3 linked regions of the Nothobranchius furzeri genome follow. The protein of the gene in region 1 interacts with the protein of each later gene in a pairwise test. Links are inferred from orthologs where the notes say so. Each region holds a gene or a part of one and is shown in the gene's direction. Other genes may lie near its edges.

Region 1 (4,026 bases):
ACAGGAGAGGAAAACCACGGCCATCCTGCGTAGAATTGTGAATCCTCCCCTTTGCATGTACTAAACAACAGCACAGTTATTTTTTAGGGTATTTTAGTTCCCTTAGGCTGTGAATACAGTGTAATTTTTTTATTTTAAGTAAAGCTGTGCTTAAATGTTACATGTTTCCCTTTCCCTGACTCCTCACTGTTGTCCGGTTTGCTAAATAATTATTGTTTTGCACATGTATTGCAAAGTGAGGCCTGAAGTCTTTCTGAAGGTGTTGCTGCTGGTGGGTTTAATATGTTTTGACCTGCCCAGACACCCTTACATTTAAGCATCACTCAGCCACAGTCTGTGTTTTCTGGAATGATCCAATGATAACATTTAGTGATACTCGAGACAATAATGAGTTTATTTCAGGAGCAGCGGTAGTGAATCTAATGTATCTCAGCTTCACTGGAAGGGGATTTAACCTCCCTGTTCACGGTCAAAGGTGTCCCATGCGTCAGACTGGAGATGTTCTAATGGGGGTTTCCTGAATCGTAAATAAACCCATGAACAGGTTTGCTGTAATTGTAGTACCTTGCAGAGTCTTTAGCCCTTTTTTGCTCCTACAAGCTAAGTGTACAAGCTTACCCTCATGTTTATTTTTCTGTTCACTTCAAACACTAGTGATGATTACACATTGTGCTCAAAACCTTTTGTTGAACATAGGGGTACTTTTTTGTTTTATTTTATTTTTTTGCAGCATTCCTTGTTAGCAAAGTGGTTTCAAATCAAAAATTATGACCTGGAAGGAATAGAAAAAGCCTATAAAACCTTTCAGGGGATGTTGGCTACCGGCTAAGTTGTCTTTAAGAAAAATAAATAGTGAAACACAAACCCAAAAGTGTGTGTGTGTGTGGGAGAGAGAGTGAGTGAGAGAGACAGTTCTGTTGTGAAATGAAGTATAATTAATCCTCTAGTGCATTTTCCTCCTGACGCCTCCCTTTCTCCTAATTGTTGGGCCTGAATTTAAACTGGAAAACGACGCGACCTGATTGGCCTGAGCAACAGATCGAGCGCATGCGCACAAGCAGAACGAGAAACTGTGCGTTAGGAACTACCGGAAAACTAAAACTTCCACATTTTACAATGGAAGACTTTTTTTTCCAAAAGTAAAATCTTACGGTGGCAAGAGAAGTTGCATCTTAAACTATTCTGGTCCCAAAAACTAATAAAGTACTAGACAGCTTTACCAGAAATGAGGTGAGACGTTTTATTTCCTGTTTAAGCTCGTGTTGCTGGACTTTACTGGATGCACCTGAAGGCAGCACCATCAGGGGAAATGAAAGCTGTTTGGGACAAACGCTACACGGCCGAGCAGAACCGCGGTGAGTCTAAAAACTTCGGGAAGACGGATTTTAAGGTGATTTGCGTCGTGTCACCTCACGAGAAAAAGACTGTGTATCGCAATAGTTGATCAAATTTACGAATGTTGCTTTTAAAGTAGTCTTTAAGCCTCCCCGCCGCGTGAGAGTGCCAGTTTTGGGCTAAAAGAAAGAAAAAAGGAAGCACAAACTATCTGGACACTTTAAACTCATCCCACAGGCCACAGGTAATGGTTTGATCCGAGACACCACTGTTGGCTCTGGGCTCTGGTGTGTGTGTGTGTGTGTGTGTGTGTGTGTGTGTGTGTGTGTGTGTGTGTGTGTGTGTGTGTGTGTGTGTGTGTGTGTGTGTGTGTGTGTGTGTGTGTGTGTGTGTGTGTGTGTGTGTGTAACGAGGAGAGGGGGTGGTCATTGTAATAAGTAATAAGATCCTGATCCAGTGTGAGCAGCACTAACAATAATGAGACATGAGAAACATCACGTAGTGTTTCCTTCAGGTATTTGTTTTATTCTTTGAGCATTAATCAGTCAGATCTTTAGGTAAATTCCAAATAAAGCTTGTTATCTGTTGTGAATTATTATAATTTTTGTCCAACAGGAACCATCCTGCAGAAGTGACAGACTTTGTTCCACCAGAGTCCTCTAGATCCGTCATGGAGACCCTTGAGGAGGACCTGACGTGCTCTGTGTGCTACTCTCTGTTCTGCGACCCGCGGGTCCTGCCGTGTTCTCACACCTTCTGCAAGACCTGCCTGGACAGCCTGCTGCAGGTGTCCACCAACTATTCCACCTGGCGTCCCCTCCGCCTGCCTATAAAGTGTCCCAACTGTTGCAGCGTGGTGGAGCTGCCCCCGATGGGTGTAGATGCTCTGCCCACCAATGTGTCCCTGCGGGCCATCATTGAGAAAGTAGGAGAGGCTGGCCCGTCTGTTCCCGTTTGTCTGAAATCCTTCTGACGGGCTTGTTTCTTTTTACTTTCAGTACCAGACGAACAATGCGCCTCGACCCCCGTCCTGCCAGGAGCACCACAGACAACCTCTGAACATGTACTGCATCCAGGATCGGCAGCTGATCTGTGGTCTGTGTCTGACCGTCGGGCAGCATCAGGGACATCCCATAGATGACCTTCAGGCCGCCTTCATCAAAGAAAAACAGACTCCATCGCTGCTGCTCGCCAGACTTTCGGAGCAGAGATGGGCGCAGGTGGGCGTCGGGGTTTGGGAGCAGGAATTCTGTGCCGTTTTTGTTTTGATTAATACGTCTAACGTCTTGTGGCTGTTGGTTAGGTGTGTGACCTGGCAGAGCAGCTGGAGCAGGACAAAGCCCGCTGTGAGGCTCTAGTGAGGCAGGACAAACAGGAAGTGGATCAGTTTTTTCTTGTGCTGGAGGGAATACTGGCCAGGAAGAAACACGCCTACCTGGAGGCTTTGGATAAAGCTGCTGCAGAGGTGTCGCTTGCATATGACCCCCTGATCCACAGAGTCAAGGAGCTTCAGGTGTGTGGACACTTCCACAATCCCAGTTCTTAGGGCTGCTTTGAAGTTTTGACTCATTTGTCTTCAACCCTCTGGGGTCCGTGGACGCTTATCCGCGTCTTTTGAACAGGTCTGATTTGGGACGCTGTAGCAGCAAGACTCCGCCTCCCTGAGTTTCCGTTTCAATTCAGCTTTAAAAAGGAGATTATAAACTACACCCCAGTTTTTAAATTGTGTTAATAAGCAACGTAAAAGCGGAGTTAAACTAAACTAAAAAATGACCTTTTTTTAGACAATCTGATAACTTGTCAAACAGCAGTTTAGTAATCCGTGAGAGGGAATGTGCTTGTGAACATAAAAAACCCACAAAAACATGAGATCCTTTTGCTGTTGCTGGAAGTCTCACATATTCAACTGATAAAAAGTATCATCATGTAGCTGAGAGAGAGAGGAAGGCCGCACGAGTAACGAGATGTGCGCAAAAAGGAGCCGCTTGGCGGGGAACGGAGTGGCGCGAACGGAGTAACAACAAACAGTTAGACAGATATTGATGGTAAACTTCATATTTTGGAGCGATCCGGACAGATATGTTGTCTCTGCAGTTTAGTAGGCTTTTATTAGGCTTATATAAAGGATGGTGAGAAGGATAAATGTCCACCAGGCAGTTCGGCTGTTTTTTGAACTGGAAGCAGAGGAAGTGGACGGAGACTCGCAGCCGGAGTCTGAAGCAAATAGCGAGGATGTTGATGACGATGTGGCAGATCCATCCTTCCTCATAGAAGAGTTGGGTCATGATGAGGTAGAGGATGAAGGCAGAGATCCAGCTCCTCGGAGATCCAACAAGAGGAGTGGGCGGCGCCGCGCAGCTGTCAGATCTCGATCTCCGCGGCGTGAGACAGAGCCACTCCCCACTCCAAAATGCATGCACATTATTGCCAAATTAATAAAATAAGTATAAATTCAGATAGTCCAGGTTGTTCTGAAAAAAATGATACCCCATAAGGCAAAATTTATTGTTTTTGTTAGAAAATACAAAAGACAAACCAAAATGAGTCAAAAACGGTGATTTACACCCAGGACCCCAGAGGGCTGATATTATTTTTTTTATTTGTTATTTGCCATATTTATTCATATTTTTTATAAATGTACAGTCTAGATTAACATTCTAAATTATAAAAAACATTCGTCATAAATGTTTG
Region 2 (4,039 bases), on another chromosome or scaffold:
GGCTGGAAAAAGGAACACTGAAAAAAAATGTATATGCTCTCCATGGGTGAACAAGTTCAGGCTTTTGTTGTGTGAAATCTAAAAATCTTTTTTGCGTTTAATATTCATTCGAATCTATTTGTTTATTAATTTGTCATTTTTACAAACGTTTAGGTTGAGGAAACCCAACACACGTACTCGCATAACAACACACAGATAATTTAATTTACACTTATGAATTTGCTGCAAATCTGCAGGCTGCATGATTGCAAAAAGACAAGACAAATCATAGTGTAATAAATAAATTAGCTGCACTGGTGTAGCACCTTCTTGAGTCAGAGGTCTCCAATACATGGTACAGTGTATCCTTCATTTGTACACACCCTGGTGGCAATGAGCTACAAGCCAGAGCTGCACTGGGCGCCATCATTTCCTCCAACTTCAGGGTTTATTTCAAGATCGTGTTTCTGGTCTATAGGGCCTTACATGGACAAGCGCCATCTTACATTGGTGATCTTCTTAGTCCCTACACCCCCAGCAGGGACCTGAGGTCCAGTGATCAAAGCCTACTGGTTGTGCAGCACCAGGCTAAAGTCCAAAGGTGACAGATCATTTGCTGCTGTGGCCCCCAGACTCTGGAACTCTCTCCCCCTGAGCCTGAGATCTGTGGACTCCTTTAAAAAGCAGCTGAAAACTCACTTGTTCAGGCTGGCTTTTGTGTGACCTTCATCACCCTCTCCCTGTTCTGCTCTCCCTGCCTATTCCACCTTCCATGAGGATCCACTGATTTCCCTCTTTCCTATTCACTCTCTCTCTTTCTCCACATTTTTAATCACAATTGTCTATTTTTTGTGCATTTTAAATATATTTTAATAATTTTCTAAATTCTTTTTTATATTGTTATATTTTGTGAAGCACCTCTTCTTCTTCAACCACCACCAGCTGCTGGGGAAGGTTGGGTGTCTTGCCCAGGGACGCTTCAACGGGGTTCTCTGTCAGGACCTGTAATGGAACCTGCAACTTTCCAATTACTGAACCTTCTGTTCTACCCTCTGAGCTGCCCCCTAATTTTTTTTTCTTAACTGCATTTTTTGTGTGTGTGTTGGAGCAGTGAAAAGCTTTACAGCACATGGTATTCCAAGCGGTCTCCCATCCAACTACTGACCAGGTTCTAGCCTAGATTGCTGTCGAGATCGGGCGTACTTTAGGGTGGTAAGGTCGTAAGCAATATCTAATTTCGTTTAAAACCTTATTTTCTACTTTTCTTCATAGGCTTTCACTTATTTCTGCTGCCGTATATGGCATTTGCTCTGTTTGGAAAAGTTCAAAACAAGGTTCTTCACGACGCTTTGAAACCAAGAGTTAGATGGGCAACAGCGCCCTCGTGTCGCACAAGCACTTCAACACCGGAACTGTGGAAGTGACATGAAGAGGAGTTGATTGAAATGGCGTCAGTCACTATACGCAAGTGGGGGCTCTGCGCGGTTTCCCTGCTAAACTTGTTGTTTGTCTTCATATCCGGAGCAGATTTCATTCGGTTTTTGTCGTTTCGAGCAATTTATCATAACATTACAGGGGAGACGAGACTCTGTCAAGGTAAGCGACAGATGGTAGCCTGGAAAGTTAACGCACTGTTCAGAAATAACATTTAAACTCACATTTACGGCTGTTAAGCAAATTCAGGTATGGAGAAATTATATTCAACTTCAGTAAGCCTGGACGAAACTATTCAGTCACTATGATAATGTCTACTGTGACTGTGTGTCCCCACAGCCCGGCTAGCTCAGTCGGTAGAGCATGAGACTCTTAATCTCAGGGTCGTGGGTTCGAGCCCCACGTTGGGCGATAGCCTTTTCCTTTATTCTTGAAAATTTACTGACATAATTTTATATATCTGTATGAGTAAATTCATCATATATGCAGCAAATGCATTTTGATACATAACATGTGCCTCTAGTTTTGTTGTAATAATTTTGATTTAATCTTGATTAATACTACCTAAATGAAATGACTATTTATAAAGTGTTATTTGTCTCCATTAAGACTCCATACCTTGGTCTGTGGCTCTGAGGGACAGCTCGGTGCATTGGTCTCTAGCTGTGGATGTGTGTTTAGTGGCTCTTTTCACTGCACAACACAGCCTGCTCGCCTGGTCTCCGGTCAAACAGGTCCTACAGTCAGCTCTGGGAACCTTAAACAGGACGTTTTACTGCTTCACTACTGCACTTGCTCTGCAGGTACACTAAAAGTACTGAAAATATATGCTTTAATATTCTAGAACAACCATAATAATATGCTAACTGCAGTGATGGACAGATTATACATTGGTTGGAATAAAATCACAGGTGAACTAAATGCCCCACAATTGAAATAATTTAATAACCCCTAATTTACAGATGTGCCATTAATTTCTATAGGAAGTATTAATCTTAATCACCTGCATACTTTATAACTACATAATCATTTACTTTCCTGTGTTAGGTCTTGATGCGTTACTGGCAGACAGTGACTGGCGCTCCCTGCTTGTGGTCGGTGCGTATTGCACCCTGGAGTGTCTGGTTCCCCCTGCTCTGCTTTTCTCTACACTTCCTCTGCTGGTCCATCATCTGTAGCATCCTCATGATTTTTGATTACCCAGAACTACTGGGCATCAAGCAGGTGAGAAAGTCATGTATCAAAGAAACATGTTAGATATGTTTTTTTCCTCAAGCAAATGATTAAGACAGTCCTAGAATTTAAAACTACATTTAAATTGTTGTTATGAAGCTTGGGGTGTCTAATGTAGCATTCCAAAGAGTTTGTGCGGCCTGGTTTAGCACAAACTCTTTGGTATGCTACATTAGACACCATAAGCTTCATAACAAAGCTAATGCTAATGCTTGCCCTACCAACTCATAAGGCTATCCTGACTACCGCTAATGCTAACTAAACCTATCGCTAATGCTAGCCCAAGCTACTGCTAATTGTCTTATTGGATGAGAGGAAAACAACAAAGAAGAATGCTGGAGCACCACTCATGTTCCAGAATGTACTGGTGGTATCCAGGCTATGAATGGATCCCAGATACATCCATAGGATGGGATCCAAATGCTCGTCTTCATTCCTCCACAAGCCCTCTCATCTCAACATCAGTTGGTTTATTTTCATTCATCTCCCAGTGTGGACCTCAGCCGGGCCAACACTCACTCTGGGGTTGTATTTGGCCATTTTTCTGGGCTCCTGTGCCATTTTGAGCTCCAACAAAGTTTCGTAGAACTGTTTTCAATTGTAAAAAAGTGTTCTAGTACACCTTTAAAACCATAAAACCCTGATTATACCTATTTCTTGGCTCTTTTAGGTGTACTACAAGAGTCTCGGTTTAGGAGACCCCTTGTCTCATAAATCACTTCCTGCTCAGCGACTCCTGTCCCACTTCCGCCACCCAGTGTTCCTGGAGCTGGTGGTCATCCTGTGGCTCCTGCCGGCCCTGTCCCTGGACAGGCTTCTGCTGGCGGGGATGCTGTCCACCTACATGGCCCTGGCTCACTCGCTGGACAAACTGGATTTAGCCTACCTCTGTACGCAGTTTAGAAACAAGGTGCACCTCATTGCAGAACAACAGCGAGGCAGCGTTGATGCCACAATAGACCAGAACAGCAGCAATCACATGGAAAAGTGATCTTAATATTAATTTCAACTTTAACTGCAGCTGTAGTCTAAAGCGAGGCGGCAGTTTTTGTCACTTTGTATGTGACAAAGTGGAGAGTTGTGCCATTTAAAGGAAGTGCTGCATTTTTTTTTATAAACGTTTACGTTGCCTGGAACTCAGAATGTGTTTCTGTGTTTTCGTTTAAACTCAGTCTCATTTAAACACAGATTTCACACTGGAAACGCCCTAGTTTGTCACAGCTCGATTGAGAAATCACTAATAAAATGTAAAGGCATTTCTTTTACAATTTATGCAACAGAATTATGGACGCTCATGTGTCTGGTCTAATGTGACAAACTGGGTTAATATTGTCATTGATAAATCAGGAACTTGAGTTTATGTTGTTTTATTTCACAAGTTTCTCTAATTTTC
Region 3 (3,617 bases), on another chromosome or scaffold:
GCAGTCTGAAGCAGCTAATCTGCAAAACTTGACAACTTCATAAATATTATGCAATATTGTTGCCCATCAAACCTTCAATTTCAGGCCTGTTGGGACAAACAGCAACAAAACAATATTTAAAGCTACAGATTAGTGCTGATGGCTGATGGATCTTGTTGCATATAAAATACATTTGTGGACTCAAATATATCTTAAGTAGCAACAAAAACATTAAGAATGTGTTTCTATAATTTTCTGCAATAATTCAATAACATGTGGAGAGGATGGTGACGCGACACTGCCATTATTTAAATGTGAAAATGAAAGGCTGATCACATGTCTTATCAGAGGTTGAACAGAGCCAGTGATGTTGGCAGAAAGCTCCAACACAGGTGCTGATCTCTGTGTTTGGGTCTTAATGTTGAATTATCCTAACAAGCTCACAGCTGAGGCAGGAGAAACAGGTCAAAAACACAATGTCTGTGGATCATTTATGGGACAATAAAGGTATTATTGATGAAAAGCAAATTGTCTTCATGCTCAGTCAAATAAACTGAATGTGAGCTAGAGAATAGTCAGAATTAATAAACGTCTGCTTTTGTTTTGAAGGTACAATCCTTCATTGTGAATCTACTGAAAGTCAACAGTTAAAAGCAGTTTCATATCCAAGGTGATTTCATCTTCTTTGTGATGGTGTAATCCTCCTATAGCAGCTGACATCTCATCCTAGAAGAGTATTTGAAGCTGGAATGCCACCTACTGGAACACTGCTTCCTGCACTTTTACCAAACTTAATCAGGAGAAAGACTAAAGTCTTTTTTTACATTTGTATTTCTATTTACTACCATTTAGAATGACATTTCTAGACTTCTTATGCTTTTGTGACAGTTGAAATTTAAAGATAAATAATATGATGGCCTTTTAAACACACTGTAGTATACTCACCCAACACTATAATCATAAAAATAGCAATGTGCTGTTTAATTTTAGGTTTAATCTGGTGAATTTCAAGAGTCTACTTGCTTTATATGAAGAAAAAATATCTTAAAAGTCTTGTAAACAATATAATTTACTGTAGATTGAAAAAAAATCCCACCACAGTAGGAGAAATAACTGAGAATTATTAAAAATATATTTCTGGAAATGTTTTTTTCAATTTATAAGAAGGAAAATAAAAGAGTACATTTGTATTAAGATCATTTATTTTCTGCAATTGTAGCATCAAACCTTCAGGATTTATTTTTTCAGTGAAAAGATACAAAATTATTAGATTATTGAAATCTGAAGGGAAACATGAGATTATGACGCATCCAGACCAGCAGGGGGCGGTAGATAAATGACACAGCCCTGGTGACGTTTCCCGTGAACACCTCTCAATAAAGACATCATCTTGAGAGGCTGCAGGGCTCCGTGGTGCTGAAAGGACAGCTCCTCTGCTCTCAGACATCTGAAGGTAGGCAGATGTGTCACCCTGGAGAAAACCTAACGGGAATAAAACCACCGACTTTACCAAATATTTAGATTTATTCTCCAAATAATCAGAAAACACAAAGGAGGCGTTTGTCATCCACGGAATTGAAATGCTGTTAATTGCGGAAATTCCCTGCGTTTTAGATTGACGGGTTACGATGTAGGTTTAGATGCGAAGTTTTAGATGTAAATTGTGTTTTTAAACATCCTCGTTTGCTTCAGGTTAGCAGATCTCTGAAACAAGGATGGGATATTCTTGGAATGGCCCCTGAGAGTCCCTTGACCCCAATTTGCACAGAAATGAGTTCTCATCAGCTGATTTGTCTCCTCTGTTTTTCTCTCTGTCTAATTAAAGCATAAATTCAGTTTTCTGGTAGCAAAAATAAATAAAATAAAATAAAATAAAATGCGGGTGAAGTCAATAATTCAAACCAGCAACAAATAAAACACTTTTAAAAGGTCTGTGATCATATTTTAAATCATATGTTAAAATATAATTTCCTGCCTAATTTGTGTTTTTTATTCTCACAGAAATGTTCAGCAGAATGTTCAAGCTGAGGCTGCTCAACGCTGTGGCGCCTGCTTACTTCTTCACAGCCACCGTGGCCACCTTTATTCTATACTTCTACCTCTTCATCCCAACAATCTTCCCCAACCCAGATCTCTCCCTGAGGAGCTCCACAGCCCTCCACACCGCTGCCTTCCTGTTCCTGATGTTCAACGCTTTGGGGAATTACGTAATGACTATTAAATATCCAGCAGAAAGTGCCAATGAGACCGTGGTTCCGTGCTCCCCACACTGCTCTGATAACGTGGACGCTCACTACCTCCTGAACGGCCGCCACTTTTGTAAACTGTGCAAGAAAGTGATTCTCAAGAGAGACCACCACTGTTTTTTCACAGGAAACTGCATCGGCAACAAGAACATGCGCTACTTCATCATGTTCTGCATCTATACATCATGCACATGCCTGTACTCCTTGGTTCTGGGTGTTGCTTTTCTCACTGTGGAGTACTCCATCTCCTTTGAGAACCCGCTGACCTTTCTAACTCTTCTCCCTCTCTCTACTGGTTACTTCTTCATGGGTGAGTTCACCAAATCAGAAAGATGATGATTTCCTTTGTTTTGGCATTCATTCCTCCACTCTCTCCCTCACACACACAGGATCCATCTCAGGCCTGCAGCTGTTCCTGGTGCTGATGCTGTACGTGTGGCTGGGCATTGGCTTGGTGAGTACCGGTTTCTGCTGCCAGCAGGTGCTGCTGGTGGCTCGAGGACAAACCTGGTGTCAGCTCCAAAGAGGGGATCTTTTGGAAAACCGCACCCCGTGGAGAGCCAACCTGAAGGATGTTTTTGGCAACCGCTGGATGATTGGCCTTATTTTGCCCGTGCAGACAGTGGAAACGTCCTCTGAAGACACAGATGGACAAAAACAAGACTGATGGACAGCAGTGAATTTAGACTATAGGGTCAAACAGCAACATATCTTGTAGAAAATGCTGTTTTTTAGGTGATAAAATGTCAACATAGATGCTTTGTGATGCTTTTTCAAGTAAAACTAGCTGAGAGCACAGTTTTATTGACGACATGAGTCACATAAGCGACAAAGTAAGTGCACACGACTATATTCATAGAGTCGCTTTTAAAAAGGTAAGATTATTTACAAACTAAGCCTATACAAGTTAACAAGTCAGGAAAAACTGCCGCTGAAACTTGAAAATGAGAATATGGTGCAAAAATCCATTTATTTCAGTAATTCATCTTAGACTGAGAGACCATCTAAAGGCTCAGGTACCCTTTGCAGTTGTTTTGGATTAACCAGCTGATTAGTGTGACACTTTGAGTTTAGAATACCGACAATATTCTAATTGACAGAGATTTTGGGAGTCTGTAAGCCATAATCATCACAATTAAAACAAGTAAAGACTTCAAATAATTGTCTTAGCCTGTAATTAGTCTATCTGATTAGTTTCACTTTTTAATTGACTTACTGACATAAATGAACTTTTGCACCACATTCTAATATTTCAAGTTTCTCCATATCTGTTCTCGAAGCATTGATAAATGGCTTTGCATGCCTTTGAAGCTTTCTATCATGTTACGATTCACTCCTTTTATAAAGATTCAACAACGTGTTATCCAGGGAACTTTATTAAGGGCTACGATG

What was found.
Region 2: the proteins of trim59 (region 1) and nrm interact in binary tests that used the Homo sapiens proteins (3 or more experiments, as listed by UniProt). The two-hybrid records come from large-scale screens. The link is inferred for Nothobranchius furzeri from reciprocal best matches to the Homo sapiens genes TRIM59 and NRM.
Region 3: the proteins of trim59 (region 1) and zdhhc22 interact in binary tests that used the Homo sapiens proteins (3 or more experiments, as listed by UniProt). The link is inferred for Nothobranchius furzeri from reciprocal best matches to the Homo sapiens genes TRIM59 and ZDHHC22.

What each region holds. Positions count from the first base shown.
Region 1 is NC_091753.1:52,625,755-52,629,780, reverse strand, and holds the start of trim59 (tripartite motif-containing protein 59), read left to right. Parts: upstream 1-1,226; 5' UTR 1,227-1,355; intron 1,356-1,414; exon of another isoform or gene 1,415-1,579; intron 1,580-1,950; 5' UTR 1,951-2,005; coding exon 2,006-2,260; intron 2,261-2,333; coding exon 2,334-2,555; intron 2,556-2,638; coding exon 2,639-2,848; intron 2,849-4,026. UniProt on the Homo sapiens protein: E3 ubiquitin ligase involved in different processes such as development and immune response. Serves as a negative regulator for innate immune signaling pathways by suppressing RLR-induced activation of IRF3/7 and NF-kappa-B via interaction with adapter ECSIT.
Region 2 is NC_091759.1:8,213,592-8,217,630, forward strand, and holds nrm (nurim), read left to right. Parts: upstream 1-1,239; 5' UTR 1,240-1,424; coding exon 1,425-1,575; intron 1,576-1,751; exon of another isoform or gene 1,752-1,824; intron 1,825-2,022; coding exon 2,023-2,216; intron 2,217-2,460; coding exon 2,461-2,637; intron 2,638-3,316; coding exon 3,317-3,637; 3' UTR 3,638-3,839; downstream 3,840-4,039.
Region 3 is NC_091758.1:32,272,988-32,276,604, reverse strand, and holds zdhhc22 (palmitoyltransferase ZDHHC22), read left to right. Parts: upstream 1-1,319; 5' UTR 1,320-1,432; intron 1,433-1,980; 5' UTR 1,981-1,982; coding exon 1,983-2,535; intron 2,536-2,614; coding exon 2,615-2,892; 3' UTR 2,893-3,117; downstream 3,118-3,617. UniProt on the Homo sapiens protein: Palmitoyltransferase that could catalyze the addition of palmitate onto various protein substrates and be involved in a variety of cellular processes. Catalyzes the palmitoylation of KCNMA1, regulating localization of KCNMA1 to the plasma membrane.